Linked DNA regions of Macaca fascicularis. The protein of the gene in region 1 interacts with the protein of each later gene in a pairwise test. Links are inferred from orthologs where the notes say so. Each region holds a gene or a part of one and is shown in the gene's direction. Other genes may lie near its edges. The genes, in order: NELFB and NELFE.

Region 1 (15,728 bases):
ACCCAAATCCTATAAAACGGCCCCACACTTATCTCCCTTCGCTGACTCTCTTTTCAGACTCAGCACGCCTGCACCCAGGTGATTAAAAAGCTTTATTGCTCACACAAAGCCTGTTTGGTGGTCTCTTCACATGGATGGGCATGACAGTATCAGCATTAAAAGCTCTCACAAAACAAAGATATAAACAACACCTCATGGAAAATGCAGACATGATATGAATTTTTTTTTTTTGTATTTTTAGTAGAGATGGGGTTTCACCGTGTTAGCCTCGAACTCCTGACCTCATGATCCGCTCGCCTCGGCCTCCCAAAGTGCTGGGATTATAGGCATGAGCCACCGTGCCCGGCCAATATGAACTTTTTAAGAAAAAAGACTGGGCCGGGCGCGGTGGCTCAAGCCTGTGATCCCAGCACTTTGGGAGGCCGAGACGGGCGGATCACGAGGTCAGGAGATCGAGACCATCCTGGCTAACACAATGAAACCCCGTCTCCACTAAAAATACAAAAAAATTAGCCGGGCGTGGTGGCGGCGCCTGTAGTCCCAGCTACTCGGGAGGCTGAGGCAGGAGAATGGCGGGAACCCGGGAGGCGGAGCTTGCAGTGAGCCGAGATCGCGCCACTGCACTCCAGCCTGGGCGACAGAGCGAGACTCCGCCTCAAAAAAAAAAAAAAAAAAAAAAGAAAAAAAAAAAAGAAAAAAGACTGGCCAGGCGCAGTGGCTTAAGTCTGTAATCCCAGCACTTTGGGAGGTGGAGGTGGGCGGATCACAAGTTCAGGAGATCGAGACCATCCTGGCTAACATGGTGAAACCCTGTCTGTACTAAAAAAAAAAAAAAAAAAAAAAAAATTAGCCGGGTGTGGCGGCGGCACCTGTAGTCCCAGCTACTCGGGAGGCTGAGGCAGGAGAATGGCGTGAACCCGGGAGGTGGAGCTTGCAGTGAGCCAAGATAGCACCACTGCACTGCAGCCTGGGCGACAGAGCGAGACTCTGTCTCAAAAAAAAAAAAAAAAGAAAAAAAGAAAAAAGACCACAGTCCGTTAAGTGTGCGGGCATCAAGTCGAACCATAATCACATACATGCTGATTGTGTGTTGAGAGCAGTTTCTGAGGCTTACTGCTGGCAGGCTCACGGTGAGAAGGACGTCTAATTCGGGTGGCACCTTCTGGAAAGCAATTTGGTACATACAGATCAAGTCCATACAAGACACTACAAACTTGGACCATTGCTTCCACTCCTAGGAAGTTGTCTGGCATTCTGGTAGACGCTGGTTCTCCTCCACCGCTCCTGGCTGGTAATTCCCACAGCCCTTGATAGGGCCTTGTGTTAGAATGTTGGGTGTACAAGGCCTGGGGGGGTGTGGGTGGGGGACTTTGACCTTCTCCTGCCCTCCTTTCGTCTGCCCCAACGCAGGATGCTAACATTCTTGCCTTTCCGATTGTGGGTCTTTTTTTTTTTTTTTTTTTTTTTTGAGATGGAGTCTGGCTCTGTCGCCCAGGCTGGAGTGCAGTGGCCAGATCTCAGCTCACTGCAAGCTCTGCCTCCCGGGTTCACGCCATTCTCCTGCCTCAGCCTCCCGAGTAGCTGGGACTACAGGCGCCCGCCACCTCGCCCGGCTAGTTTTTTGTATTTTTTTAGTAGAGACGAGGTTTCACCATGTTAGCCAGGATGGTCTCGATCTCCTGACCTCGTGATCCACCCGTCTCAGCCTCCCAATGTGCTGGGATTACAGGCTTGAGCCACCGCGCCCGGCCTGATTGTGGGTCTTAAGACCCTCCCAGGAGAGGTCTCACCCAAGCCCCAGGGACAGCAATGCTGACATCAGGAAGCTTCTGTAAAATGCCAAGATGACTGGGGCTCAGGGAGCTTCTGGACAGCAGAACAGCTGGAGGTTCCCAGAGGGCGGCGACCAGTGAGCGAGGGCATGGAAGCACCAGCCCATCCCCATGCCTCTCACTGGTATCCTTTGCAATCAATATCCTTTACAACAAACCAGTAAACATCAGCATTTCCCTGAGTTCTTTTTTTTTTTTTTTTTTTTGTTGAGACGGAGTCTTGCTCAGTCGCCCAGGCTGGAGTGCGGTGGCGCGATCTCGGCTCACTGCAAGCTCTGCCTCCTGGGTTCACGCCATTCTCCTGCCTCAGCCTCCTGAATAGCAGGGACTACAGGCGCCCGCCACCTCGCCCGGCTAATTTTTTTGTATTTTTAGTAGAGACGGGGTTTCACCAGGCTAGCCAGGATGGTCTCGATCTCCTGACCTCATGATCTGCCCGTCTTGGCCTCCCAAAGTGCTGGGATTACAGGCGTGAGCCACCGCGCCCGGCCTCCCTGAGTTCTATGAGTGGCTACACCAAATTAAACCCAAAGCGGGTGTCATAGGAACCCCAACTTGAAGCCAGTTGGTCAGAAGTTCCAGAGGCCCAGGCTTGCGACTGGTGTGTGTCTGGAGGCCCTGCCCCCGTCTGTGTCTGGAGGCCGTCTTGGGAGGGAGCTCTCACCCTGTGGGATCTGACACTGTCTCCAGGTAGATGGTGAAGGAAATGAATTAGAGGACACCCAGCTTGGTGTGTGGGGGAACAACCCCCCCAACATTTGAACAAAAGCCTCCTTCTGTGACGGCTGTGGTGGTGTGGGTGCAGAGCCGGACACCACGAGAGCATTTCCCCCACGCACCTTCCGAAGGAGAGGATGGATGTCCAGCAGCGCCATTCACAGCGGCAACGTTTATTACAGGACAGGGAGGACCTGGAGGGGCCTATCTGTCCAATGACAAGGGCTTCATGAGCAAAGTGCACTCTGTTCCACTGGCAGCCAGTCAACTCTGAACCTGGCGCGACCTGGACAGGGGCTCCGGAGCTCAGGGCGTGAACCCTTCGCCCAGATAAATCCTGTGCTTCCTCAAGCATGTGTCCATCTGTCTGCCTGGCAGGCCCAGTGCTGAAGGGCAGGCATCCAGAGAGGGCGGAGGAGGCCCGAGTTGGCCCTGTTCACAGGCCCCGCCCTGGTGGATTCTGGGCCAAGGTCAGGGCTGGGACCGGCTGGCGGTCAGCTCCAGAGGCCACACAGCGAGGGCCTTGGTGCCCACACGGGCTCTTGCTCACGCAGGCTGGCTGTTCCTTTGCAGAGCAGGCAGCCTGGCCATCAGTGACACCTTCTAGTCTCTGTGTCCCCAGGTGAGAGGCAGGCCCTCACACTCCAGTCCTGGCTGGGCCCCAGGGCCGGGCCTGCCTCTGGTGTCAGACCCATCTGATGTGGCTTTGCTTTTTCCCTAAGTGGGAACCCAGGTGGGGTGGCAGCTCCTCCTCTTCCTCCAGGGATCCTTCCTGGACCCCTCCCTCCTACCCCCAGGGAGTCCTGGCTGGCCAGACACAGCTGGGCATCTCCTAGGGCTTGGCGGATGCCCTGGGTCCTGTTCCCTCCACCCCCTCTGCTGAGGCCTCAGTCCTCCCAGAGGACCTGCTAGAGTGGACCCCAGACTTCCAGGAGACCCCAGGGTGCAGGAGAGGGGAGGAATGCTGGGAAAGTTAGGGGGAAAGGGAGAGGGCTGGGCCAGGAGTCACTGGGGCAGGCTGGGGGTCCTGGCCCAGGCAGACCCCGTGATCATCTAGTTAGTGGGGGAGGGGCCCGCCCGGCGTGGGGGCCCGGGGCCGCCCCTCCAGGGCCAGACAATGCATCTTCCCCAGGAGCCCCAGCAACAGAGGGGCCTACCAGTGAGGTCACAGAGCCTGGTGGTGCCCTCGGGGAAGAGAGCCAGGAGACTCTGATGATGAATTTTGACCAGAAGGCAGTGAAATTCCTGGCAAATTTTTACATCAATGGAGGCAAACACTGGACCCACGGCCACCTGAGGCAGACGCCACCAGAGCCCAGCCAGTAACTTGAGGGGGGCGGTGGGGCGGGAAGGGGCAGGCCGGCTGGGAGTGGCCAGGGTGCTGAGGGACAGCGGTGGGGGGAGGGCTGTGGGACAGGCCGGCTGGGAGCAGCCTGGGAGGTGAGGGACAGAGGGTAGGGGCAGGCTCCAGGGAGTAGCCGGCGGGGGGGTGCTGAGGGACAGTTAGGGAGACAGACTTTGGGGCAGGCGGCTCGGGGGCTGAGGGACAGAGTGGGGGAGCAGGTTGCTGGGCTGGTGGCTGGGAGCAGCCAGGGGGCTGAGGGACAGTGTGGGGGACAGGCTGTGGGACAGGCAGTTGGGAGTGGCCAGGGCTGAGGGACAGAGTGGGGGACAGGCTGTGGGACAGGCAGCTGGGAGTGGCCAGGGCTGAGGGACAGAGTGGGGGAGCAGGTTGCTGGGCTGGTGGCTGGGAGCAGCCAGGGGGCTGAGGGACAGTGTGGGGGACAGGCTGTGGGGCAGGCGGCTCAGAGTGGTGGGGACTGAGGGACAGTGGCTGCCGGTCTCCCTTGCAGGCCCAAGGCATCTGTGCTGTTGGTGGGCCTGGAGCCAGGGCTGGCCTGGGATGAGACACGGCTCCCAAAGATGAAGGAGGTCCCAGCTGGTCTCAGGTTACAGATGGGCACCCCTCAGGAGTCCCTGCCCACCTACACCCAGACCCTGAGAGAGCTGTGTGAGTGAGGGTCCCGGCCACCCCACCCCAACGCTGGTCTTTGGGGGTTGTGGGAGGGGCCTGCTGGAAGGAGCCCAGGCCCAGAGCTTGCTTCCTGTGGCCAGTGCTGGAGCAACGCCCCCCGATCACAGCTGACCTGGAAGTCCCCAGTCCCACCAGGTACCAGGTGCCCAGCCCGTCCATACGAGAGTCCTCCCCACACCCCCGCTACAGCATCGGCTGCAGGCACCGGGGCCGAGGTGCGTGTCCCCTCCCTGAGGCCCGACCACCGGGCCTGTCCTCCACCCTGGGAATGGGGGCCTCTGCCTCTGAGCTGAAACCGCCACGGCCTGAGGGCCCCTCCACCCTCCCGGTGTTCACTTCCAGGCTCAGCGCCTGTAAGGAGGCCTGGAGAGAGGAGGGCTAGGGCTGGGGCATGGGTGGGCGTTGTGAGGACAAGGGTTCAGAGGCCGGGGGTGGGAACTGGGAGCCAGGTTCGAGTGGGGGCTGCCACCTGGGTGGGGCTCCCAGCCTTCTCTCTCTCCACCCTCCACCTACAGAGGGCGGTGGCCGCAGGGCATGGCAGACTCTGTGGTTCCAGAGTGAAAGCCCCTTCACGCAGAAAGCCGACTTCGACCAAGAGCAAAAGGTGGGGGCTGGGCAGGCAGGGGGCTGGGAGTTCCAGCGGGGCCAAAGGGGAGCTGGCTGAGGATCCGTGGGGAGCGCCCTGCCCTGCAGCCCCCGTCTCCTGCCCCCTTGCAGTGGCCCTCACCAGCCCACTACCAGCTGTTCAGCCGGCCCGCCGGCCCCGCCTTCAGCTTCAGAGGCCGCCACTCCACCTCCAAGACACCTGAGGGCCACATCCGCCCAGGGCTGCCTGGAGCCAGGGGGCTGGGCCTCAGGATGCAGCCCCAGTCCCTGCTTCAGGCCTCTTTGCAGGCACCTGGCAAGAGACACCCTGGCCCCAACACCTACAATATCCTTCCTGGGAGCCGCCTGCAGAGGCCCCGTTCGCCGGCCTTCTCGATGAGCCGCTCCCCCGCGTTCACCTCCTGGCTCAGCACCTGTAAGGAGGCCTGGAGAGAGGAGGGCTAGGGCTGGGGCATGGGTGCGTGTTGTGAAGACAAGGGTTCAGGGGCCAAGGGTGGGAACCGGGAGCCAGGTTCAAGTGGGGGCTGCCACCTGGGTGGAGCTCTCAGCCTTCTCTTTTGGCAGCTCGAACCCCTGGCCCAGCTGCCTACTACGTGGAGGACTGCTACAACTCACGCTTCCCCTCAGTGCCTGGCGTGGTCATCCAGGGTGTGCGCAGACCCAAGCGCCACAACACAGGCCCCTTCTGTGCACTCTAGAGCCAGCTGGGCACAACCTGCTTGGCCCAGCCACCGAGTGGCCTCCCCCGGGGCTTTCTCAGGCCTCCCTTGGGACTCGGGGCCCCAGCCTGGCCTTCTGACCCTCTGGGCACCCCCGATGCACCCTTCCGGCTGGTCAATCCTTCTATGGGCTGTAGACAAGGCTGGCCCAGCCTGGATCCCTCATCTGGCCACCTCCCTGTTATACAGAGACGCTGTTGGCTCTCTTGAGCTCTGTGGTGTGCAGTTGTGTCCTTCACCTGGGGGCGGTCCTGGGTCATTTCCAGCTTTCCCTGTTGAGGGATCTCCATTCGGCTGCCCCTGAAGGGTGCTCTCTTCTCTAGGGCGGCAGCCTGCGACTCACCCTGAGCTCCAGCCTGGAGCGAGATGGGAGGTGGGCTCTGTGGGACACCCCCACCCAGCCGTGCCACTTAGGGGCCTGGTCCAGTTGCTGTCCACCTGAGGGTCAGCCGCTTGCCAAGCCAGGGAACTTGGAAGGAGGTACCAAATGCCCTGAGCCGCCACCTCCAGGTGGGGTCGGCCTGGCCAGGTCTCAGGAAGGGCCCAGGGACCCCGCTCACCAGGGCCCAACCCCACTTCCCCTGGGCCTTGAGCTGAAGACGCAGCTGGGCTTAGTCACCTGTGCCCTGAAAACTCTGGCCCAGGGCCCTGCAGACTCCTGTGGCACTGCCAGCAGACTCCCAGGGCCTTCACCTGCCGGGTCCCTGTACTGCCCCTGCCTGCAGCTTCACCTGGCTGGGGCCTCCCTTGTCACCACTGGCCTGCCCTCCTACCCAGGGTTGGGCCCCAAGGCTGCCACCTTGCAGGAGGCTTAACTGCAGTGCCATCACCTGTACCTCCCCAAGTCCTTCCCAGACCCAGGACCCAGACCAGGCCCAGAGCTCAACCCCTTCAAAAAGGCTCTGGGCAGCTGCTCCTGTGGCCTCAGCACCATCCCCTTTGGCAGAGAGGAATCCAAGGCCCTAGGGCTGTGTGTGTGCTGTGTCCCTTGCCCTCCTCTGCCACTGAACCAGCTGGGGGTTGGATCAAGGCACTGGTACCTTCGCCCTTGGGGTGACCAACTTGGCCAGCAGCAAGAGAGCCGTGGTAGCCCTGGCCTTGGGAGGTTGGCCCCGCTTGTGGGAACAGGAGCTCTGCTCATGGCTGCACCACCAGGCACCCCTGGTGAGACACAAAGCTAGGAGTGGGAGCGGCAGGAAGGATGCAACGATCTCCTCCAGCTGGGCTGAGGAGGGAGGGCTTCCTGGAGGAGGTGGAGGAAGGAGCCTTTAAGGAAGAGCAAGAGTTTGTTGGGCAGCGGGAAAGAAATTTCTAGAGAAAAACTCGGCAGGGAAGACCGAAAAGAGAGAGGGTGTGTGTAGGGTGCTTGGCGGGGCACTGCCTGCGGGAGGGCGGCGGGCTGGAGAGGCGGGGAGGCCCGGGAAGCCCACCCGCCTGGGATGAGAAGGGACACTGTGGAAACTGGACTCTCCCTCACGGCTCCGCGGAGCTCGGTGGGCGCCACAGCCTCCCGGTGCCGGGGAGGGCGGCCGTCGCTCGCGCTCCCGCTGCGGGCCCGGTCTCCGCCAGGCCCCGGCCCCCTGAAGGCGCTCAGACCTCAGTCTTGGCGACAGCGCTGCGGTGGGCTTCGTGCCCGTTTCACGCGGAGGAAGCCACGCTCAGGAGGGAGGGAGTCTGCGCCCGTGTCCTGCACCTGCAGAGCGGAGGGGCGGGGAGCTCAACCCCCGGCAAAACGTCCCCGCGGCGCGTGGCTGCCGCGAGATCAACAAGAGCGTTTTCCAAGCTTGTGTACACGAAATTCACTCGGCTGACATTGACGTCAGTTGGCAGATCAGACCGACCCCGCTTCCGCCCCCACGCTCCCACCCGCCCTCTTCTGCCAGAAACCCCGGGAGCGGGCGGGACCGGGCGGGCGCATGCGCAGTGGGCTGCCTGGGCGGGGTCTCTCGCGCCGGGAGAGGGCGCTGCTCCCAGGAACCTGCGCGCGGCTCCGGCGGCGTTTCCAGGGGGCCGGTTGGCGGGCGGACCCGGGCAGTGCGGGGCGGAAGTGGGCGGCTGCAGGACGCGCGCGGAGCCGCGCGGCGGGCGGGACCTGGCCGAGCTGGAGGGCGCCGGGGAGCGGGGCTCGGGCGGCCCCCGAGGCCCGGCGGAGCGGGCTTCTGGGGTGTCTGCGGCGGCGCCGGGGGAGCGGGCTGGGGATGGGGCGCCTAGCCGGGCGGCGGCCGGGGCCTCGGCCATGTTCGCGGGGCTGCAGGACCTGGGCGTGGCCAACGGCGAGGACCTGAAGGAGACCCTGACCAACTGCACGGAGCCACTCAAGGCCATCGAGCAGTTCCAGGTGGGGCAGCCCCCGGGGCGGGGGGAGCCCGGTGCGAGGGCAGGGCTGCCTGCGCCGGAGTCGGGCCTGGCGGAGGCGCCGGAAGTTTTCCGGCTTTCTCTCGGTGTCTGAGTCTTGTTTTGGGGGTGGAGTCCGGAGCCAGCATCCCTTTGCTGGACGGCTGGGTGGCTTTCGGTGGCTGCGGTTACCGCCAGCACGGCTGGGAACACCTGGGTTCGTACCTCCCTGGGTTCGAGCTCTTAGAACCTTGGGGTGCCCGGGCGCACTGGGCTGCGGCTGAGATTTCTCTTGACTTCCTCAGACAGAGAATGGCGTGCTGCTGCCCTCTCTTCAGTCGGCCCTCCCTTTCTTGGACCTGCACGGGACGCCGCGGCTGGAGTTCCACCAGTCGGTGTTCGATGAGCTGCGGGACAAGCTGCTGGAGCGAGTGTCAGCCATCGCTTCGGAAGGGAAGGCTGAGGAAAGGTGGGTCAGCGGGAGGGATGGGCAGGTGAGATGTGCGGCTGTCTTCTCAGCCTTGGATCGACTCAGGGGCATTTATCATCCTTTTGGCTCCACATCCTTGCTCCCAGAGGTGGCCTGGCTCTGTGTCTGAGTGTGGAGCCTTGCCCCATGTGTCCTGCGCGTGGAGGCTTGTCCTGGTAGCTGTTACCTGTGTGGGGACAAGCAGGTAGCTGCTCTGATCTGGCGCATCGCTGCACCATCAATCCTGTGAGTTGTTGCAGGTACAAGAAGCTGGAAGACCTTCTGGAGAAGAGCTTTTCTCTGGTCAAGATGCCGTCCCTGCAGCCCGTGGTGATGTGCGTCATGAAGCACCTGCCCAAGGTAGGGTCCTAACCCTAACCCGGACGTGATGGCGTGGACCGTCCGCCCACCCCTCATGCCCTTAAGTTGGTGGAAGTTCTGGTGGCCACCTAGCTCCGGGAGCTTCCCACGCCGCCTGCCGGAGTGCTGTCTATGGTGAGCTTGTCTGGCTTCTCCTGCATGAGCAGCGTGGAGACTGAACCTTAGCACTGGAGTTGGGGTGTGGGGCCCGCCCTGGGATAGAGCTGTTGGTATTTGGCTTGTCTGCATGAACCTGCTGGGGCCAGGGAACCTGTCATAGGTGTCCTGTGGGGTAGGGCTTAGCGGGAGGTGGTCTTGGGAGGGGGGGGGCTGAGGTCTCTTGGCTTGTCTTAAGGGAGATCCAGGGACACAGGGGCCACTCACAGGCTGCCTGTGGTGTCATGTAGGTTCCTGAGAAAAAGCTGAAGCTAGTCATGGCTGACAAGGAGCTGTATCGAGCCTGTGCCGTGGAGGTGAAGCGGCAGATCTGGCAAGACAACCAGGCTCTCTTTGGGGACGAGGTTTCCCCGCTGCTGAAGCAGTACATCCTGGAGAAGGAGAGCGCGCTGTTCAGCACAGAGCTCTCTGTCCTGCACAACTTCTTCAGCCCTTCCCCCAAGACCAGGCGCCAGGGCGAGGTGAGGGGACAGGCCGTGTGCAGGGCGGGGCACCTTTTGGGGGTGCCATGGCTGGCCCCATCAGCTGCCTGGGGATCAACACCCTGCTGCCCTGTGAATGGTTGGATGGTTCTGCTTCTTGGCTGGGCGGCGGGGGAGAGCTGGCCTGTACCCGTGCTGGAAAGAATGTTGGTGGTTTTTATGTTTGTAGTTTACTTTTCTTTAAAGTGATATATGGACAACATTAAAATCCACAGAAAGGCCCCTAATGAGAAGTTACAGCACCTGCCTCCGCTACTTCTTTTTTTTTTTTTTTTGAGACGGAGTCTCGCTCTGTCGCCCGGGCTGGAGTGCAGTGGCCGGATCTCAGCTCACTGCAAGCTCCGCCTCCCGGGTTTACGCCATTCTCCTGCCTCAGCCTCCCGAATAGCTGGGACTACAGGCGCCCGCCACCTCACCCGGCTAGTTTTTTTTGTATTTTTTTTTTTAGTAGAGATGGGGTTTCACCGTGTTAGCCAGGATGGTCTCGATCTCCTGACCTCGTGATCCGCCCGCCTCGGCCTCCCAGAGTGCTGGGATTACAGGCTTGAGCCACCGCGCCCGGTCTTTTTTTTTTTTTTTTTTGAGTCGGAGTCTCGCTCTGTCGCCCAGGCTGGAGTGCGATGGCCTGATCTTGGCTCACTGCAAGCTCCACCTCCCGGGTTCACGCTATTCTCCTGCCTCAGCCTCCTGAATAGCTGGGACTACAGGCGCCAGCCACCACGCCCGGCTAATTTTTTGTATTTTTATTGAAGACCGGATTTCACCGTGTTAGCCAGGATGGTCTCGATCTCCTGACCTCATGATCCGCCCGCCTCGGCCTCCCAAAGTGCTGGGATTACAGGCGTGAGCCACTGTATATGGCACCTCCCCGCCCCCGGCCCACCTCTAAAAAGCAAGTTCTGTTTGGTCCTTCAACTTTTTTTTTTCTGTTTCACGAAAACATGTATTAGATGACAGCTATACATGGCCTAAGCTGTGTGTGGGCTGGTAAAGGCTTGAGTGTTGGCTAGAACCAGGAAAACTGCTGTCCCGTTTTCATGTTCACAGAACAGCTATTTCTCATAGTTGGGCCAGTCCTATGGCCTGCAAAGGAGGTAAACATTTTAAAGCAAGACTTAGCTGAACTGGAATGGAGCCAGAGATGAGGGCACTAAGCCAGACCTCCCAGGCAGTGATCTAACAGCTTGTTCTTGGTGTCCCGGCTCTTTTGCTCCGAACACGGATGGGGAATGTGAAGGCTCTCTTCTGGCTGGGATGAAGCATCTAGGTGATAAGAAATCCAGAGAGGGGCTGAGAAAGGGAGGCAAGAGTTGCTTTTTATTGACTTGGAAGTGGGCTCTTCAGTGAAGCCCCTTTGGGTTTAAGAGCATTTTCCTGCTTTCTTGTTCTTCCGGCAACTTCTGCTGCCTGAGCTGCCATGCTTGTAATCCAGCGTCCATTTCCTGTGACAGCAGTACAACTCGTCTTGCAAACTTCTCCCTTTCAGCTTTTCTTCCACGCTGGCCTTTCACTGGGGGAGCAGGGCGGCCGTCCACCTATGACCAGTCTGGGAGCTCTGTAAGGGGCCCGTAGCCGGAGGGGTTGGCCGCCAGTCCCTGCTGTAGTAGCCACTGGCTGGCCGCCCGCCCAAGCGGCTGCACCACAGTGCAGCCTCCAGACACCTATGAAGAGAACAGTTGCCAAAGCAGCCATGCTGAGCCAGAGTAGCCGGGGTAGCCCTCTTTTTTTCTTTTTTCTTTTTTTTTTTGAGACATAGTCTTGCTCTGTTGCCCAGGCTAGAGTGCAGTGGGGCGATCTTGGCTCATTGCAAGCTCCGCCTGGGGTTCACTCCATTCTCTTGCCTCAGCCTTCCAAGTAGCTGGGACTACAGGTGCCCACCACCACGCCTGGCTAATTTTTTGTATTTTTAGTAGAGCTGGGGTTTCTCTGTGTTAGCCAGGATGGTCTCGCTCTCCTGAACTTATGATCCACCCGCCTTGGCCTCCCAAAGTGCTGGGATCACAGGCGTGAGCCACCGCGCTCGGCCTGGTCCTTCAGTTTTCAGGTATTTAAATGATTTGTTAATGTGGTTGCAGTTGAGTTGTTTTTCATTCTTCAGAGGATAGCAAACCCAGGGTTCTGTCTGTTAATAATATTGGCATTGTTCTAAACTGAAACTTGCTGACAATTTTCTTTGTTCTTTTGAGACGAAGTCTCTCTCTATTGCCCAGGCTGGAGTGCAGTGGCGCGATCTCGGCTCCCTGCAAGCTCCGTCTCCTGGGTTCACTCCGTTCTTTTTTTTTTTTTTTTACTTTTTTTTTTTTTTTTTTTTTGAGACGGAGTCTTGCTCTGACGCCTAGGCTGGAGTGCAGTGGCCGGATCTCAGCTCACTGCAAGCTCCGCCTCCCGGGTTTATGCCATTCTCCTGCCTCAGCCTCCCGAGTAGCTGGGACTACAGGCGCCCGCCACCTCGCCCGGCTAGTTTTTTGTATTTTTAGTAGAGCCAGGGTTTCACCGTGTTAGCCAGGATGGTCTCGATCTCCTGACCTCGTGATCCGCCCACCTCGGCCTCCCAAAGTGCTGGGATTACAGGCGTGAGCCACCGCGCCCGGCCTTTTCCCTTTTTTTTTGAGACAGGACTTTCGCTCTTGTCACCCAGGCAAAAGTGCAGTGGTGTGGTCTGGGGTCACTGCAGCCTCTGCCTCTGGGTTCAAGCTATTCTGCCTCAGCCTCCCCAGTAGCTGGGATTATAGGCGTGTGCCACCATGCCCAGCCAGTTTTGGTGTTTTTAGTATCATCGTGTTTGCCAGGCTCGCCTTGAACTCCTGAGCTCACGTGATCTGCCTGCCTTGGCCTCGCAAAGTGCTGGGATTGTAGGCATGAGCCACTCTGCCTGGCCCTTTTTTTTTTTTCTGGTTTTTTTTTTTTGAGATGGAGTCTTGCTCTGTCACCCAGGCTGGAGTGCAGTGCCTCGAACTCGGCTCACTGCAACCTCTGCCTCCTGAGTTCAAGCAATTCTCCTGCCTCAGCCTCTCGAGTAGCTGGGACTACAGGCCAGCCCCACCATGCCTGGCTAATTTTTGTATTTATTTAGTACAGACAGTGTTTCATCTTGTTGACCAGGCTGAACCAAGAGGAACTCCTGACCTCAGGTGATCCGCCCACCTTGGCCTCCCAAAGTGCTGGGATTATAGGTGTGAGCCTGGCCGTAACCAACTTTAGCACCGTTCGATAGAAAGATAAAGTGAACTATAAGTTAAGATTTTTCAATATCCACATTAAGAAAAAAAAAGTGAGATCAATTTCATTAATGTTTTGTTTGGTCCCGTGTATCCAAAGTATTATCTTTCAGCATGTAATTCATGTGAAGGATTGGGCTGGGTAGCGTGGCTCACGCCTGTACTCCTAGTACTTTGGGAGGCTGAGGTGGGAGGATCGCTTGAGTTTAGTAGTTGAAGACCAAAGGGAGACCTTGTCTCTACAAGAAAAAACATTTAACTCAGCATGGTGGCGCATGCCTGTTGTCCCAACTACTGAGGAGGCTGAAGCAGAAGGATCGCTTGGGCCCAGGAGATTGAAGCTGCGGTGAGGTGTGATTGAGCCACTGCACTCCAACCTGGGCGGCAGAGTGAGAGACACTGTCTCACAAGCAAAAAAAAAATACTGAACTGTAATGCTTTTTGTGGGAGCATCACTGAGATTTGAAACCTGGTGAGTCTTTCACACTTAGCGCCCTTCTGAACTATTGCACTTCAAGTGCTGAAGAGTTCGTGTGGCTCTGGGCTCCCTTCAGGCCGTGGGTCCTGACCACGTGCATGGGCTTGTTGGGGGTGGCTAGTGCCACCTTTGTCCTCCCTTCCCTGTTTGTTTATTCCCAGTCAGGTCCTCCACGGGCCTTTTTCTTGTTCCGTTGCTGTCAGACAGAGCCCTTGGACCCCTCTGCGAACGGTGGGGTGCCCTGCACTTCCCAGGCCTTTCTCCTGCCCCATCTCTTCTGGTGACCTGGTGCTGCCCATACCGATTTCTGTCTGTGAGGGACTTGCTTGGTCTGCTTAGTCCTAGGTTGATTCTTTTATTTTTATTTTATTTTGTTTTATTTTATTTGCTTATTTATTTTATTTTATTATTATTTTTTTTGAGACAGAGTCTGGCTCTGCCGCCCAGGCTGGAGTGCAGTGGCCGGATCTCAGCTCACTGCAAGCTCCGCCTCCCGGGTTCACGCCATTCTCCTGCCTCAGCCTCCCGAGTAGTTGGGACTACAGGCGCCCGCCACCGCGCCCGGCTAGTTTTTTGTATTTTTTAGCAGAGACGGGGTTTCACCGTGTTAGCCAGGATGGTCTAGATCTCCTGACCTCGTGATCCGCCCGTCTCGGCCTCCCAAAGTGCTGGGATTACAGGCTTGAGCCACCGCGCCCGGCCTTTATTTGCTTATTTTATTGTTATTCTTTAAATTTATTTTATTTTTATTTATTTATTTATTTATTTTTGAGACCTAGTCTCGCTCAGTCACCCAGGCTGGAGTACAGTGGCCGAATCTCAGCTCACCGCAAGCTCCGCCTCCCGGGTTCACGCCATTCTGCCTCAGCCTCCCAAGTAGCTGGGACTACAGGCGCCCGCCAACGCCCGGCTAATTTTTTGTAATTTTTTTTTTTTTTTTTTTTTTTTTGAGGCGGAGTCTCGCTCTGTCGCCCAGGCTGGAGTGCAGTGGCTGGATCTCAGCTCACTGCAAGCTCTGCCTCCCGGGTTTACACCGTTCTCTTGCCTCAGCCTCCCAAGTAGCTGGGACTACAGGCGGCCGCCACCTCGCCCGGCTAGTTTTTTGTATTTTTGGTAGAGATGGGGTTTCACTGTGTTAGCCAGGATGGTCTCGATCTCCTGACCTCGTGATCCGCCCGTCTTGGCCTCCCAAAGTGCTGGGATTACAGGCTTGAGCCACTGTGCCCGGCTGAGTTTATTATTTTATTTTATTTTTATTTTATTTATGTTATTTTAATTTAATTTAATTTTATATTTTACTTTATTTTATTTTAATTTTTTGAGACGGAGTTGCTTGTTGCCCAGGCTGGAGTACAGTGGTGTGATCTCCGCTGACTGCAACCTCATTCTCCCAGGTTCAAGTGATTCTCCTGCCTCAACCTCCTGAGTAGCTGGGATTATAGGCGCCCACCACCACGCTTGACTAATATTTGTATTTTTAGTAGAGACGAGATTTCACCATGTTGGCCAGGCTGGTCTCGAACTCCTGGTCTCAGGTAATCCACCCACCTTGGCCTACCAATTTGCTGCAGTTACAGCCATGAGCCACCGTGCCCAGCCCAATTCTCTTTTAAAAAGTTAAATTAGACCGGGCACAGTGGCTCACACCTGTAATCCCAGCACTTTGGGAGGCCAAGGCGGGCAGATCACGAGGTCAGGAGTTCAAGACAAGCCTGACCAACATGGTAAAAACCCATCTCTACTAAAAACACAAAAATTAGCCAGGTGTGGTGGTGTGCCCCTGTAATCCCAGCTACTCAGGAGGCTGAGGCAGGAGAATCACTTGAACCCGGGAGGCGGAGGTTGCAGTGAGCCAAGATTGCAACCACTGTACTCCAGCCTAGGCGACAGAGTGAGACTCAGTCTCAAAAGAAGAAAAAAAAAGTTAAAAACTGGGTCAGGTGTGGTGGCTCACGCCTGTAATCTTAGCACTTTGGGAGGCCAAGGTGGGTGGATCACCTGAGTTCAGAAGACCGGCCTGGGCAACATGGGGAAACCTTGTCTCTACTAAAATACAGAAAATTAGCTGGGCGTGGCGGCCTGTGCCTGTAATCCCAACTACAGGCTGAGACAGGAGAATAGCTTGAATCTGGGAGGCGGAGGTTGCAGCGAGCCGAGATCCTACCATTGCACTCCAGCCTGGGTGACAGCACAAGACTATCTCAAAAGAAAAAAAAAGGTTGGGCAGGGTGGCATGCAATTGTAGTCCCAGCTACTCGGGAGGCTGAGGCAGGAGAATCACTCTAGCCCAGGAGGTCAAGG
Region 2 (15,517 bases), on another chromosome or scaffold:
AAATTTTGTAGTTCTAATCCACTTTGGATTGGAGCTCTTGGAATATGTCGCTCTAAGGGATGGAAAGGGCAGAAAATGTTATCAGATTCAAGAGAGGTTGAAATAAACTGAATATATAACATATCAAGTCACTTATAAAAAGTATCAACCAGGCGTGGTGGCTCATGCCTATAATCCCAGCACTTTGGGAGGCCAAGGTGGGCAGATCACTTGAGGTTAGGAGTTTGAGACCAACCTGGCCAACATGGTGAAACCCGTCTCTACTAAACATAACAAAAATTCACAGGGCATGGTGATGCACGCCTATAGTCCCAGTTACTGAGGAGTCTGAGGCCAGAGAATTGCTTGAACCCAGGAGGCACAGGTTGCAGTGAGTGGAGATCGCACCACTGTACTCCACCCTGGGCGACAGAGCAAGACTCTATCTCAAAACAAAACCAAAAAGCTGCAATGGCAGGTGTGGCAGTGGCTCATTCCTATAATTAGAGCACTTTAGGAGGCCAAGGTAGGAGGATTGCTTGAGCCCAGGAATTTGAGACCAGCCCTGGCAACATAGTGAAACCCTATCTCTACAAAAAAAAAAAAAAAAAAAAAAAAAAAACAGAAATTAGCCAAGCATGGTAGAGCGCATCTCTAGTCTCAGCTACTAGGGAGGCTAAGGTAGGAGGATTGCTTGAGCCTGGGAGGTCAAGGCTGCAGCAAGCTATGATTGCACCATTGCACTCCAACCTGGACAACAGAGCAAGACCCTGTCTCAAAAAATAAAAACAAATAAATAAAACCACATAGTCAAATAAGAAATGTATATAGTGTTAAAAGGAAAGAAGAGATCAGAGGAGATCTAGAAGAGGGTGAGGGAAGAGGAACATCTCTGTTCCATGGTTGGGCAGCCTCCTGCTCCACACTGAGGTAGGTCTCTCCCCTCTCCAGGACCCCGAGAAGGGACCAGTCCCCACTTTCCAGCCGTTCCAGAGGAGCATATCTGCTGATGATGACCTGCAAGAGGTAAAGGCTTCTAATTTCTGTCCCTGAGGGGTTGGGGATGGAGGAACATGAGAAACTAACTTATTTTGGACTACATGTTAGCAACTGGGAATCATCTTAACTGTTCTTGGTCTCTTTTACAGTCATCTAGACGTCCCCAGAGGAAATCTCTGTATGAGAGGTTAGAGAGTAGAGATAAGACTGGGCCCACTTGGCGGGGTTGATTGCCTGAGTCCTTGGGAGGTTTGGGCTGTAGAAGCTGTGCTATTGAGGGAATATTGAGTCTCCACAGGGTCCAAGGGGAGAAGGTAAAACCCCCCTTTGATCTTCAGTCTGCATCTCCCCAGCTTTGTGTCTTCTAGTGATCGACTTCGAGAACTAGGGCCAGATGGAGAAGAGGCAGAGGGCCCAGGGGCTGGTGATGGTCCCCCTCGAAGCTTTGACTGGGGCTATGAAGAACGCAGTGGTGCCCACTCCTCAGCCTCCCCTCCCCGAAGCCGCAGCCGGGACCGCAGCCATGAGAGGAACCGGGACAGAGACCGAGATCGGGAGCGAGATCGAGACAGAGACCGAGAGCGGGACAGGGATCGGGATCGGGATCGGGATCGAGATCGAGATCGAGATCGAGACCGGGAACGGGACAGGGATCGGGAGCGGGATCGAGACCGAGACCGAGAGGGTCCTTTCCGCAGTGAGTGATCTTGGCTGGAGGTCAAGGTGACCTTAACTGAGGTTTATGTGGGTCCTACTAAGTGAAGTGTGGGATGGACCATGTCTTGTGACTGTGATTCCTGCTCCCAAAGGGTCGGACTCCTTCCCTGAACGGCGAGCCCCTAGGAAAGGGAATACTCTCTATGTATACGGAGAAGACATGACGCCTACCCTTCTCCGTGGGGCCTTCTCTCCTTTTGGAAACATCATTGACCTCTCCATGGACCCACCCAGAAAGTAAGGATGACGACAGGGCATGATGAGAAGTCCTGGGCGAATCCTGGGGTGTGAGACTTGAGGGAGGAAGCTGCCCTCCCGGCAGCCGCCTGTGATCGCTGGGTTTGGTTGGGTCCAGAAGAGCCCCTTGGCTCTCCACTGACCCTGTTTTTTCTTATCCCAGCTGTGCCTTCGTCACCTATGAAAAGATGGAGTCAGCAGATCAGGCCGTTGCTGAGGTTGGAACTTCGCAAATCTGTTCTTCCCATCGCCTCTGCTGTTCTCATGTGTTCTCATCAAAATACTAGATGCCAGGAAGAAGTTGGTTCCTCTTGATAAAGTCTCTCCCTATTCACACAGAAAAACTTACATTCTCAGATTCCTTATTCAGTCTACTCCTAGGATAGCAACTCCTGGAATAGCTTCTTTGGTGTATCTGTAATGTTTTCCTCCCCATCCTCTGCCTCCCCTCTTCTGCTTTAGCTCAACGGGACCCAGGTGGAGTCTGTACAGCTCAAAGTCAACATAGCCCGGAAACAGCCCATGCTGGATGCCGCTACTGGCAAGTCTGTCTGGGGCTCCCTCGGTAAGAATGGGATTTTCTTTCCCGTCCTCTCCCCTACAGCACACTCCTTTTGGTTCCCCCACACATCCTTGGGTTTCCTAGAGATTATCGAGGTCAGAGTGTGTGCAGAGGCTGTGGGAATGGGAAGGAAAATTTCAGATCATCTGTTAGTTAGAGGTAAAGAAAGGAGAGAAAAGGATTGAGAACAGCTTCCAAAGCAGCGACTGGAACAGGGAAGAAAATGGGAGCTGGAGTGAGATTGGTGAGAAAGATGAGTGTCTCATGGGGCTTGTTCATTTTGAGATGGAGTAGAGTGAATTTCGTAAGTATTTGAAATTAGGGGTCTGGAACTCAGGTGTGAGGTAAGGAATGAAAACATAGATTAAGTCATCTGCATCACAGGGTGGCTCCCCGATCATGAGGGAGACTGATTTCGGAGAAAAAAAACGACCCAGGACTAGACTTGAGGAATACTCAGGGACTATGTTAGGAAACAGGACTGTCCACCTTACGCCCCACGTGTCTCCAGCTCTCCTGACACGTTAGGCTAACGTTGAGCCTAACGTTAGCAAAGGAGACAGGAGGAGGGGTCAGAGGGCTGGGAGCAGCACCAGAGGGGCCTGGGCCACTGAAGCGAAAGGACACATGCTTTGAGAAAGAGGGAGTAGCCAGCAGTGTCAAGGTACAGAGATCACAGGATGAGAAGTGGGTGGGAGAGATTCTCTCTAGGTCAAGGGTGGTGGGGATGGAATCTTTGGATGGGGTGAAGAGAGTAACATGTCTGGTGGAGGGAGGAAAAGAGGAAGGGGAAGAAACAGCTAGAGGCTTGAGAGAGAATGGTGAGGGCCAAAGCTACATGCTGGATGAGTTCTGGTGGAGCTAGTAGCATTCCTTAGTATGAGTAACCCATTTACCTGAAAGTAGATTTTCCTGGGAAAGGAGTGAGCAGAAAGAAGGACTCAGAGCAACAGTGGCCTTTCAGGCAAAAGAAAGGAACTAGAGTTGACCAGCATGTCAATAAAGGGCTACAGAGGTTTTCTAGTTTTTAGCTTCTGACATACTGACTATAAGTAGTGGGTTAATATCATTCATATATCTCAACAATGACATTTGGGATTTTTCTAAGAACAAAACATTCATCAAAATGTCCACTTACACTCTCCTTGGCCATGGGTTGGCACAAAGGAGCTAAGGAAGACAGGCCATCCTGGCCACCAGAGGGCAGCGTGGAAACTGGGTTTCCAGGGGCCAGCAGCCAGGACTGAGGTGGTCAGGAGTCAGCCTCAGGGTCTGATCTATGATCTCCTTTAGACCTTAACTGTTCCTCTCCTCCCTCCCTAGCTGTCCAGAACAGCCCTAAGGGTTGCCACCGGGACAAGAGGACCCAGATTGTCTACAGTGATGACGTCTACAAGGAAAACCTTGTGGATGGCTTCTAGGGAACAGAGCTGGATTCCTTGTGCCTCAAATGCCCCAATGCTGGTCTCAGTAAAACACTGAGGTGGAAGCTTACATATCTCCCTCAGCCTCTGGTTTTTCAGCACTTGGGATTGGGGTTAAGCCTTTAAAAATGGGTGTCAGGTTTGATCTCAGTGTAACAACATGGCCAGTGCCCGTTCCCCACTCCCTTGCCCCAAAAGGATCTGGAACACAAGTGTTGTCGCAGCTGTTTTAATTCAATCCCGCGCCCCTGTCCAGCAGGAAACCCCTTATAGAAAACCCAAATCCTCATCTTGGAGTTTCTCCTTCAGCCAGGGCAGCACTTGGAAGAGGTTGACGTGAAAGTCTCGGGCGTGAGCAGGTACCTGCTTTTGCCGCTTCTGGTTTTTGCAGACATCCACTACTCCCCAGCTGATGACACCAACCTGCAGAGGCAGTGGGGTGCCATGGATCATTCATAGAATTCCTAATCCTGGAAGCATGACTGTTCCTGATTGTGTCTTAGCTGACCTAAAGGAATCAGGCTAGGGACCCAGCTCAGCCTCATTCTTGACACACACAGGCCAGACATGCAGTCCTAAAGTGAGGCAGGCTCTGCCCACCTCGAATTACTAGCCACATGCATTGTGCTTTCCTGCTTTGGGGCCCATGCTGACCACTTGGCATCTCCCCAGATAGGAAAGGGAGGACTCACTTGAATAAAACGACTTCTCTTGTGAACTATCAAGGGGCCGCCAGAATCACCTGCAAGGAGAGGAGAAGCTGTAGGGAAAAGGACTCTTGGCCCTCGGGCACTTGGAGCACAACCAGAGAGCGTTCTCTCACCTCTGCAAGTATTGGGGTCAGCATAGGGACTCACTCCTCCAGTACAAAGGAACCGAGGGGTGACCACCTCGGAGATGTCCTTGACTTTGTCATAGCCTGGGGCATATTGAGCATCTCTCTCACAGCTGCCTTTCTGTAGGGGAGGTGGGAAGCATGGAGAAAGGTAATGAACAGAGGTGGCTTAGGAAGGATTAGGGCCTAGAGTGCCTCCTTAGGATGCCCATTTCTCACCTTATCCCCATTCTTGATGTAGACCTCCTTCCGAGTCAGCTTCTTCTCCTCCTCAGACACAAACAGAGCTTTGATATCCTGTGCAGGGAGCAGCTCTTCCTCTGGACAAATAGACTGCATCACTTCAGCTGCTCCCACCACTGTCATCTCCCTATTGACTTTGTCACTCAGCAGATGTCCCCTAAGCCCTTCCTAGTGCTAGGTTCTGGGCCAGGCATCGTCTCTTCCTATTGCATCTCCCTCTCATGCCTCACTTGTCTCGGGATCTCATCCTTATCCTCCCCCCTAGTATGTCTTACTCTGTTGCTGGCAAGTGGTAGTTGGAGGAAGCCTCAAAGCTCGAGTTGTTCCCTCGGTGCAGGGGAGACAAATGGGCCTATAAAGGATGGAGAAAGAACAGCAAACTAGGCCTGCTCCTCACCCCAGTCCTCCAGCCTTTCCCAGCCTTTCCTCAGGGATCTGGATGCTCTCACCTGATAGTCGGGTCATAATTCAACTTATTCTTGAGCTTGATCAGGGCAACGTCATAGTCATAAAATTCAGGAATTCCTGCTTCTTTTTTCCCGCTAATGTTGTAGTCGGGGTGAAATAGGACTTTTTCTATCTCCAGGTCCCGCTTCTTCCCTTGAAGTAGGAGAATAGGTACCACCTCTTTGTGGGCAGCTTCTTGCCTCTGGCCCCATGTCATTCCTAACTTCAAGTCTTCCCCATCCCTGACTGGTCTGGGGTGCAAGGGATGGGGCTGCATTGCAGATGAGTGGAGTGTGGGATCTGTAGAAAGTGGGAGGTGTTGCCTGGAGGGCGTAGGTGCAGCCCGGGACCTTCAGTTGCATCCTTACCCACGCTGACCTTGATCGAGTGTTCCTTGTCGTCCACAGTAAAACAATGTGCTGCTGTCAGCACAAAGTACTCAGACACCACAGCCCCCATACAGCTCTCATGTCCCTTCGAAGGGCGCTGGGAACAGAACAGTAGAAAGGGAAAACTCAACTTTCACAAACCACCATCTCTTACGGCCATTTTGCCCTTCCCCTACTCCCATTTCACCTTGACCTCACCTCCCCCAAGTCCTCACTACTGGGATTCTGTGCTTACAGTGACTGAGATCTTGGCCTGCCATGGTTGCTTGTGGTAATCGGTACCCTCGCTGTGTTCCCAAACCATGCCACAGAGACTCAGAGACTGGCTTTCATCTGGCAGAGAAGGAGAATGTGCTGAAAACTTGGAACACTTCATTCCCAAACGGCAGCAGCCTTTGGGTAGAAGTCTGTGGGGGGCAGAGGCCCAAAAGGAGAAAGGGAAAGGCCACAGGTATTTGTTTCCTCGTGTTAGGAGAAAACTGCTGTGGTGGAGTGAAAAGGGAAAGAACTTGGGATCAAGCTATCAGAGGCCTGGCTGTTTTCAAGCCCAGCCCTGTTGCTAGCTTGCTGCCCCTTGACCTCCTTTGGCCTTTGTTTCCACATGTGTCAAATGTAGGACAATAGAAAGATCTCTGAAGTGCCTAGAGCTCTGTGATTCTAAGGTTAAGAAGCAAACAGTGCCAGGAAACAAGAATAGTGATACTGAGGTAGAGAAGGAGGAATGAAGAAGGCTTTCCAGGCAACTAGAGCTTCAGGGGTAGAGGAAGAATGAATTATTTCAGGGGAAGCTGAGGAGAGTTGCGTTCTTGATTCCCTTGTGTCTGCCTACCAATCATTTGGAAGAAAACGTCTTCCAGGTTTTCCATATCCTTGACTTTGAACACATGTTGCTCATTGTCTTTCTTGGAAGCCAAAGCATTGATGTTCACTTGGTCCACCAAAGGTCCAACCCCAAACACATAGACATCTGAGGGAGAAAAAGGAAGGATGACGGTCCAAGCCCTGAGGAAGTAGGGTGCTGGGTCCTAGGCAGGTTACTCACCCAGATAATCCTCCCTCGGGTTTTTACGATCCTTGCCGATGTATAACAAGTCCCGGATCTCATCAATGACAGTAATTGGGTCCCCGCCCATGTTGTGCAATCCTGCAGAAGAGACGGGACCATGAGGGTAGGAGATAAGATAAATTGGCTAGAGGCAGTGATACACGTGGCAGGGTGAGTAAGTTGAGGAAGGGTTAGAGGTAGTTGATCACAGGGCTTTAGGAATAATTCTTTATGAAGGGTCACAGGAGAGATGAACAGCCAGTTACGAGTCACATTCAGGGCCCCAACCATGGGTATAGTGTTACAAGTGGACTTAAGGGCCACATGCTGGTCTGAGAAGGTGGGGAGGCTGGGACAGGAGAGAGGTCCCTTCTGACCATCGGTCATGAGGATGATGACATGGCGGGTGCGGTTCCAGCCTTCAGGAGGGATGTCCTCTGGCCAACTCATCATGCTGTACACTGCCTGGAGGGCCCTCTTGGTGTTAGTCCCTGACTTCAACTTGTGGTCTGTGGGGAGGGAAGAGAGCATCGCCTCACCTGGTCTTCCAAGCCATCTTTTAACCCCAGAGACCAATCTGCAACTGAAATCTCACATCTTCAACTTTTTAAGTTAATCATCATATGGACTTCCCTTTGACCACAAAGTGGCCCTTCCAGCCCTCAGCAGGTTCCCACTAACCTCCATTGCCCAATGACCCTGCTGTTCAACCTTTGACTACAAAGTGGTCCCCCTGTTGCCCTCAAGGTAGTCTCATGACCCCCTCCACACAACACTCCTGAACCTCCTGACCCCAAAGTGAACCTCCCACCATTCCCTAACCTCTGACCTTCATAATTGATTTCACTGAGCTTCTTCGTGACCCAGTCTGCATTGCTGCTCTCTTGGTCAGACACTTTGACCCAAATTCTGGGGTATGTGGCATATGTCACTAGAGCATATCTTGGCTTCACACCATAACTTGCCACCTGTGGGTGAGGAGAACAAGGCGCCATGGCATTGAAAGTAGAATACTGTGATTGGGAGACTTCAGCAACGTTGCTGGGACAGGGAGGCTCTTAGGAAGAGGCTCAAGCACAGGTTCATGGAGGAATCAAGTACAAGGGAAGGAGGACAGAATAGGACCTGGAGACTTTCCTGGGGCCCTGCGGTTCAGAGGGGCTGGAATGATCAGGGAGCTAGTCCTGGAAGATCAGCAAGATTCCATTCCCCCAAGTTCAGGGATAGGAGGACTCCACCTTCTCAATTAAGTTGACTAGACACTTTTTGGCTCCTGTGAAGTTGCCGGCCCCAATGCTGTCTGATCCATCTAGCACCAGGTAGATGTTCATGGAGCCTGAAGGGTCTAGGATGATCCTCCGCTTCTGTTGTTCCCCTGGGTGCCAGGAGAGTGACTCAGGCTCCAGCATGAATGATTATCTTGTCCCTTCTCCATTTTCCCCCAGTTCCCTGCCTTGCCTCCCCTCTCTGCCTTCAAACCTGGGCTGTGCCCATCCTCGGCATCGACTCCTTCTATGGTCTCCGTCAGGGAAGACAGGAAAGCTTCGGCCACCTCTTGAGGGGTGTCGTACATGAAGGAGTCTGGGAGAGTCAGAAATGAGGTCAAATGTCTGGGAGTGTCAGGGACACAGTGACCAAAGAGACGGGGGATTGTGGGTTTCCAGGGTAGAAAAGGCTCAGAAGTGAGACAGTTCTAGAGGAAGGTTTAAAAGAAGTGAGGAAAGAGCAGGGTTGAGGTGGGGAGAGAAGACAGTAGGATGCAAGATCAGGATCTGACCTGGGGGTACAGGTCAAGGGTCACCTTGGCAGGAAGGCTCCGTCCCGCTCCAAGAGCCACCTTCCTGACATGTTCGCCGCTGGGAGCCACGCAGGGTAAGCCCCCGGCTGCAGTGGTAGGTGACGCTGTCTTCAAGGCGGTACCGGCTGCCCACCTTCCTTGTGCCAATGGGGATGCCTGGGTTGGAGCAGTACCCCGCTGCAGAGGCATGAGACATGGAGGTAAGCGCTGAAGCCTGAGGCCCCGAGGGCAAGGTAGAGAGCAAGAGTTACAGTGTCCAGGGGCAAATGCCCACTCCTCAGACTAGGCGCTGTCAGGGAGACAGCAATGTAGGGGGAGAGGATGCTTCTCACCTCCGTTGTCACAGATCGCTGTCTGCCCACTCCACCGGCCATTCACTTGGCAGGTGCGATTGGCAGAGCCCCGGAGAGTGTAACCGTCATAGCAGTGGAAAGAGATCTCATCACTCACATTGTAGTAGGGAGACCGGGGCCGGTATTCCCCGTTCTCGAAGTCCTGTGGTCGTGGACAGCGGATTGCTTTGAGAAGAGGGGAGAAGTAGAAGTCATCAAGAGGGAAAGGCTGCCTTAGGTGTTTCCCTCCTGGTCTCAGAGACCAGGTCACTGAGAAACAGAGCATTCCCAGTCCTGCAGAAGCTGCATCTTACCTACCCTTCAACCCATAGGGGTTTCCGCTGCTCCTCCCTCCCCATTGCTGAGTGTTCTCTTGACTTCCAGGGCTGCGTGGAAGCCCAGGGTAAATGCTTACTAAAGGTTAACTCCCCTTTTTTTTCCCTTCCTTTCCCTCTACAACCCTAAAACTGCTCCTACTCCTGGTCAGCCCACCTTGTCACCCTGCCTAGTCTCATCCTAGTCCTGACCTTGCTGCCACCTGCCCTGTTTCTCCCTTAGGCCACTGCCCACACTCATTGCCCTCAAACCTCTGCACTCTGCCTTCTTGACAGTTTTTCGATCTTGAGTCTGCAGGGTGCTCCAGGACCCCGTGGATCTGCAGGTACGTGTCTGCACAGGGTACGGGTAGAAGCCAGAAGGACACACGTATTCCAGTGCCTGGCCCTCTTGGAGAAGTCGGAAGGAGCCACCTTTGATCTCTACCCCCTCCAGAGAGCAGGATCCTTGAGGCTGGGCCGAAGACAATGGAGTGGTGGTCACACCTGAAGAGAAAGGCTGATGAAGCCTGGCCCCAAAAGGCCAAGGAGGGATGCTGGGGACAGCAGGAAGGGAAGGTTACCCTCACTTACCTGCAGATAAGAGGCCCAAGATGAAGGGCATCAGGTAGAGCTGGGGGCTGAGACTGCTCCCCATGGCGTTAGAAGGCAGGAGAGAAGCTGGGCCTGGGGCAGGATGGCGTGTCCTGGCTTGTTTTGCTTGTCTACTTAGCTCAGTGTCCAAGCTGAAACTCCAGACCTAGACCTGGTCACATTCCCTTCCCCTGCCCCCCACCAGCTCCCGGCCTTTTATGCAATCTGTGTTCTGGCACCTGCAGCTTGCCCCGCCTGTCCTACCCTCATCACTTTCCCGGAACATCCAAGCGGGAGGGCCCCGCTGAGCTGCCAGTCAAGGAAGCAGAAACTGCAGAAGTCCCACCCTTTGCTGCCCAAGGTCCAGGACTCTCCCCTTCAGTACCTCCTTCTGGCCTCAGCTCCTCCCCAGCAAGCCCAGACCACCCACTTAGGGACCAGAAATAAGGATCCAGCTCACTCCCCTGTTGCTTGTGTGTTATGGTACAGAGTCCAGCCACTGTTTGTCCAGTGGGGTCTCTGACCTGCCTTCCTGTGGCTCTTGGAGTCATTCTGGCCTCCCCTTCCCCCCAGGCCAGCCCTACCTGGCCTCCAGATAGAGTCACAGACAGATGTGGAAACCACTGATTTTTATTAATTTCATAACTGGGAAATTCCATATGAAAGTGAAATGAGCATGAGTCAAGTCAACCAGGGGAGGAATTTGGGGACAGGCCAAGGAGCGGGAGGTGGGGCAGCGAGGCAGTCCCGCTGGTAGGAGCCCTGAGGATTTCCCAGCTTGTGTGCGCTGCCCCTGGCATCCTAGAGACCCAGATTTACTCAACTAGGAGACGGCATGGGTCACAGAGTCTAAGGGTGGGCATTCAGAGGTAGAAGATGGAGGGGGGGCGGATTCTAACAGGACAGCAGAGGGCTCAGTGGCCATGACTAAAGGGGTAAAAAATTCAGGACATCCCCCAGGTGCTGCCTCAGCCAGGGCTGCATGCGGAAGAGATTGATGTGAAAGTCTCGTGGCGGCGGGACCTTGCTACGAGGGGCCCTTTTGCGGGAGTTTTTGTCAGCAGAGCCAAGGCAGGGGTTGTAAAGACCCCAGCTCACCAGACCCACCTGGAGAAAAGGAGAGAACTGGCTGGGAGGCTGCCACAGCTCCAGCTGTAAGCCCCAACCTCCCTAGATCCCTCAAAGGCCTCCCTCATCCCCCCAACAAGGCTGACATCCTGTAACCCCTGGGTCCTGCAAGCTTCCACCTTCTCACCTGAAAAAACCTGAATCTCCGCTCAAGGAAAACTGCTCCCCCAGATTCTCCTGCCAGCAAAGGGTGACAGGAGACAGCGTCATACAGGGCAGTGGACTGGTGTTCTGGCATGCACCCTGGCCACAGAGACACAGGTGGCCTTCCCCTTTGGGAATCCAGGCATGGTGAGGGACTCACCCTTGCAGGGACTCTCATCCTCCTGGGTCCCACTGCATAGAAACTGGTCTGTCACCACCTCCCTGACATCTGTCAAGTTGGGGAACATGGTTTTTTCTTGGGAGACGACCTCGGCACAGCTTGTCCACTGCCGTAGGGGTGGAACCAGAGAGAAGGGAAGAATAAGCAGACCTGACTGGGTGCAATGGCTCAGGCCTGTAATCCCAGCACTTTGGGAGGCTGAGGTGGGCGAATCACTTGAGGTCAGGAGTTCAAGACCATCCTGGCCAACTTGGCGGAATCCTGTCTCTACTAAAAATACAAAAATTAGCTGCATGTGGTGGCAAGCACCTATAATCCCAGCTACTTGGGAGGCCGAGGTAGGAGAATCACTTAAATCTGGGAGGCAGAAGTCGCAGTGAGCCAAGATCGTGCCACTGCACTTCAGTGTGGGAGACAGAGCAAGATTCCATCTCAACAACATCAAAAGAATAAGCAGACTCAGGGACACCTAGCAGGTTTGTGAGACTTGGGAGGAGAGGTGACCCACGTCAGAGAGAGAAAGCAGCCAGAGCTGGAGAAGGAAGAGAGAGATTCTGCGAGCTGTCACAGGGGGATCCCAGCATCCCCAACCTGAGACCCTCACCTCCACTCCCATCTTAAGGTTAATGTTCAGTTTGCTCCCATTCAAGGCGACAAAATGAGCAGGAACACTCTGTTTGTTCAGCAGTTCATTCTCTATAGTCAAGAGAAGAGGATATTGGTGCTGGTCCTTTTACCCAGAATCCAGATTCCTGGCTTGGGGACTGCAGCCTAGTCCTTGTTATCACCCCTAAACCCCGGCCCCAGCTCTCAAGCACCATAAGTCCCAGCACTCACCATGGTCCCTACAGGTGCTGCCTTGAGGTCTCCGCAGAGCCAGATTGGCCTCCATGGTGCAGGGAAGGCAGATGGGCCTGGGGAGAAGAGCAAGAGTCACACCAGCCTGTCCCCAGTATCTCTTCCAGGGCTCTCCAGAGCACTCTCCCCTGGAGGGCACCCTCCCATCCCAGACTCCAGGCACCTGGCATGGGTGGACATCTTTACTTTCTGGGCCAGCTTCAGCAGGGCGATGTCATCACCATAGAACTCCAGGATTCCCTGGTTCTTTTTGGCAAAGACATCAAATCCTGGGGAAATCACTGCCTTCTCAATAAGGAATTCTTTGCCCCACTGGGATTTGGGGTCTCCTGGAAATGATATGCCAGATTAGGCTAGACCAGGGCTCCTGCAGGGGCCAGAGGCTGGGTCAGGTGGTGGGATCTGTGGCTTCAGGATCGGGAGCCTGGTGCATCCCCTGCCTTACCCACATTGACCCTCCATAGGGAGTGGTCGTTGCCATCGCGGAAGCAGTGAGCCGCTGTCAGGACCCATTGGTCGGAGATGAGGGCTCCCCGGCAGGTCTCTTGGCTCTTGGGCTACAGGGGGAACAGGTGATCTTCAGGGATTGCAGTATCTCTGGCCCATGGCCACTTTCACCTCTGGAATCCAAGCCCCGCCCCTCCTTCCTGGTACCTTAATAGTGACATGCCAGGGTGTCCTCTCTTGGTCAGAGGCGTTTGCTGACATGTTCCCCACCCCGCAGATGGTGTCTGTGAGCTTGGAGACATCTGTGGGTGTGAGGATCAGATGGGGAAGGAAGCAAATGAAGGGCACTGTGTCTAGCTTCCCAACGTGGGCTTCTGACGGGCTCCTCACCATCCTCCCTACACCAGGGAGGGCAACGCTCACTCACCCAGCATATGTTCAAAGACCTGGTGCAGAGCCTTTGTGTCCTGCAGAATGAAGGCATGCCTCTCGCCATCCTTCTTGGACCCCAGCTCATTCAGTTCTCTCCAGTCCACATCCAGCTTGCCCACCCCGATGGCATAGATGTCTGTTGGGGAAGAAGGAAATCACCAGACTCCTGTGGCTTTGGGGCTACCCCATGAGACAGGAGGCTGTCATCTGAAACTCACTGTGTCCAACCAAGACCTACATAAGCTGGACCCCTGCGTCCTCCCCACTGCTACCTGTCTGCCCTCATTTCCTGCCATTGCCTGCCCTTCACTCTCCTGTAGCACACAGCCTCTCTGAAGTTTATCAAATCCTTAGGCGTAGTCACACCTCAGGCCCTTGGCCCCAGCTATGCCTCTGCCTAGTTCACTCCTCCCCCAGACTTCCACATAGCTCACTTTCGTACCTTTTTAAGTCTTGGCTCAAATGTCACCTTCTCAGTGAGGCCTTCCCTGGTCTTCCTGTCTAAAACTGCAATGCCCCAGACACTTTCATCCCCACTTTGGGAGGTAAAGTGGGAGGATCCCTTGAAGCCAGAAGTTTGAGACCAGCCTGGGCAACATGACAAGACCTCTTAGCTTGTGTCACCTACCACCTGCTGGGTTCTATGGTTTTCTTATCCTGTTTATTGCCTATAATGGTAGAATTGTGTCCCCCAGAAAGATGTGTTCAAATCCTAACCCTTAGTATCTGTGACCTTATTTGGAAAAAGGGTATTTGCAGATGTAATCAAGTTAAGATTGAGTCATACTGGATTAGGGTGAGCTCTAGTCCAATGACTGGGGTCCTTATAAGAAGAGGTAAGCCAGGCCAGGCGCAGTGGCTCATGCCTGTAATCCCAGCACTTTAGGAGGCTGAGGTGGGCAGATCATGAGGTCAGGAGATCGAGACCATCCTGGATAACTGGGTGAAACCCTATCTCCACTAAAAATAATAATAATAAAAACAAGAAGAAGTAAGCCGGGGCCAGGCATGGTGGCTCACACCTGCAATCACCAGGAGGCGGTGGTTGCTGTGAGCCGAGATCAATCGTGCCATTGCACTTCAGCCTGGGCAACAAGAGCGAAACTTCATTTCAAAAAAAGAAGAAGAAGAAGTGAGCCAGGCACGGTGGCTCACGCCTGTAATCCCAGCACTTTGGGAGGCTGAGGCAGGCAGATCACGAGGTCAGGAGTTCGAGACCAGCCTGATCAACATAGTGAAATCCCGTCTCTACTAAAAATACAAAGATTAGCTGGGCATGCTGGCACATGCCTGTAATCCCAGCTACTCAGGAGGCTGAGGCAGGAGAATCACTTGAACCTGGGAGGCAGAGGTTGCAGTGAGCCGAGATTGCACCACTGCACTCCAGGCTGGGCAACAGAGCAAGACACCATCTCAAAAAAAAAAAAAAAAAAAGTGAATTGGCTGGCCATGGTGGTGACTCATGCCTGTAATCCCAGCAGCTTTTGAGGCTAAGGCAGGCAGATCGCTTTGAGGCCAGGAGTTCAAGACCAGTCTAGCCAACATGGCGAGACCATGTCTCTACTAAAAATACAAAAATTAGCTGGGCATGGTGGCACATGCCTGTAATCCCAGCTTCTCGGGAGACTGAGGCATAAGAATCTCTTGAACCGGCCGGGCGTGGTGGCTCAAGCCTGTAATCCCAGCACTTTGGGAGGCCGAGACAGGCGGATCACGAGGTCAGGAGATCGAGACCATCCTGGCGAACACGGTGAAACCCCGTCTCTACTAAAAAATACAAAAAAACTAGCCGGGCGAGGTGGCGGGCGCCTGTAGTCCCAGCTACTCGGGAGGCTGAGGCAGGAGAATGGCGTAAACCCGGGAGGCGGAGCTTGCAGTGAGCTGAGATCCGGCCACTGCACTCCAGCCTGGGTGACAGAGCCAGACTCCATCTCAAAAAAAAAAAAAAAAAAAAAAGAATCTCTTGAACCCAGGATGCAGAGGTTACAGTGAGCTGGGATCTCGCCACTGCACTGCAGCCTGGGCTCCTGGGTGACAGAGCGAGACTCTGTCTCAAACAAATGAACAAAAGAAGAAGAAGGGAATTTGGACACAAAGACACAGGCAGTGGGTCTCCTATCTATATAAGAGAACAGCATGTAACGACACAGAGGTGCACACAGAAAAGAAGGCGAGTTGAAGACAGAGGCAGAGAATGGGTTTATGCTGCCACAAGCCAAGGCACGGTTGGAGCCAACGGCAGCCAGAAAAGACAGGAAAGAATTCTTCCCAAGAGCCTTCCAAGGAAGCACGGCCCTGCAACACCTCGATCTCAGACTTCTAACCTCCAGAACTGTAAGAAAAAGAAATTCTGTGTTCTAAGCCACCCAGGTTTGTAGTACTTTGGTAAGTATTTTTAAATGACTGAATGAA

The links.
Region 2: the proteins of NELFB (region 1) and NELFE interact in binary tests that used the Homo sapiens proteins (3 or more experiments, as listed by UniProt). The link is inferred for Macaca fascicularis from reciprocal best matches to the Homo sapiens genes NELFB and NELFE.

What each region holds. Positions count from the first base shown.
Region 1 is NC_088389.1:2,050,757-2,066,484, reverse strand, and holds the start of NELFB (negative elongation factor B), read left to right. Parts: upstream 1-7,943; 5' UTR 7,944-8,145; coding exon 8,146-8,247; intron 8,248-8,548; coding exon 8,549-8,712; intron 8,713-8,972; coding exon 8,973-9,072; intron 9,073-9,479; coding exon 9,480-9,710; intron 9,711-11,048; exon of another isoform or gene 11,049-11,429; intron 11,430-15,728. Other genes in the region: protein STPG3, read left to right, coding at 3,762-3,871, 4,403-4,560, 4,665-4,799, 5,100-5,188, 5,302-5,605, 5,755-5,888. UniProt on the Homo sapiens protein: Essential component of the NELF complex, a complex that negatively regulates the elongation of transcription by RNA polymerase II.
Region 2 is NC_088378.1:139,752,486-139,768,002, forward strand, and holds the end of NELFE (negative elongation factor E), read left to right. Parts: intron 1-930; coding exon 931-1,005; intron 1,006-1,127; coding exon 1,128-1,165; intron 1,166-1,331; coding exon 1,332-1,675; intron 1,676-1,787; coding exon 1,788-1,932; intron 1,933-2,095; coding exon 2,096-2,150; intron 2,151-2,394; coding exon 2,395-2,497; intron 2,498-3,817; coding exon 3,818-3,915; 3' UTR 3,916-4,130; downstream 4,131-15,517. Other genes in the region: CFB (complement factor B), read right to left, coding at 4,186-4,341, 4,611-4,660, 4,742-4,874, 4,973-5,073, 5,272-5,348, 5,446-5,596, 5,812-5,929, 6,068-6,165 and 10 more; complement C2, read right to left, coding at 10,843-11,022, 11,171-11,220, 11,348-11,474, 11,973-12,064, 12,206-12,282, 12,390-12,555, 12,672-12,783, 12,881-12,975 and 1 more. UniProt on the Homo sapiens protein: Essential component of the NELF complex, a complex that negatively regulates the elongation of transcription by RNA polymerase II.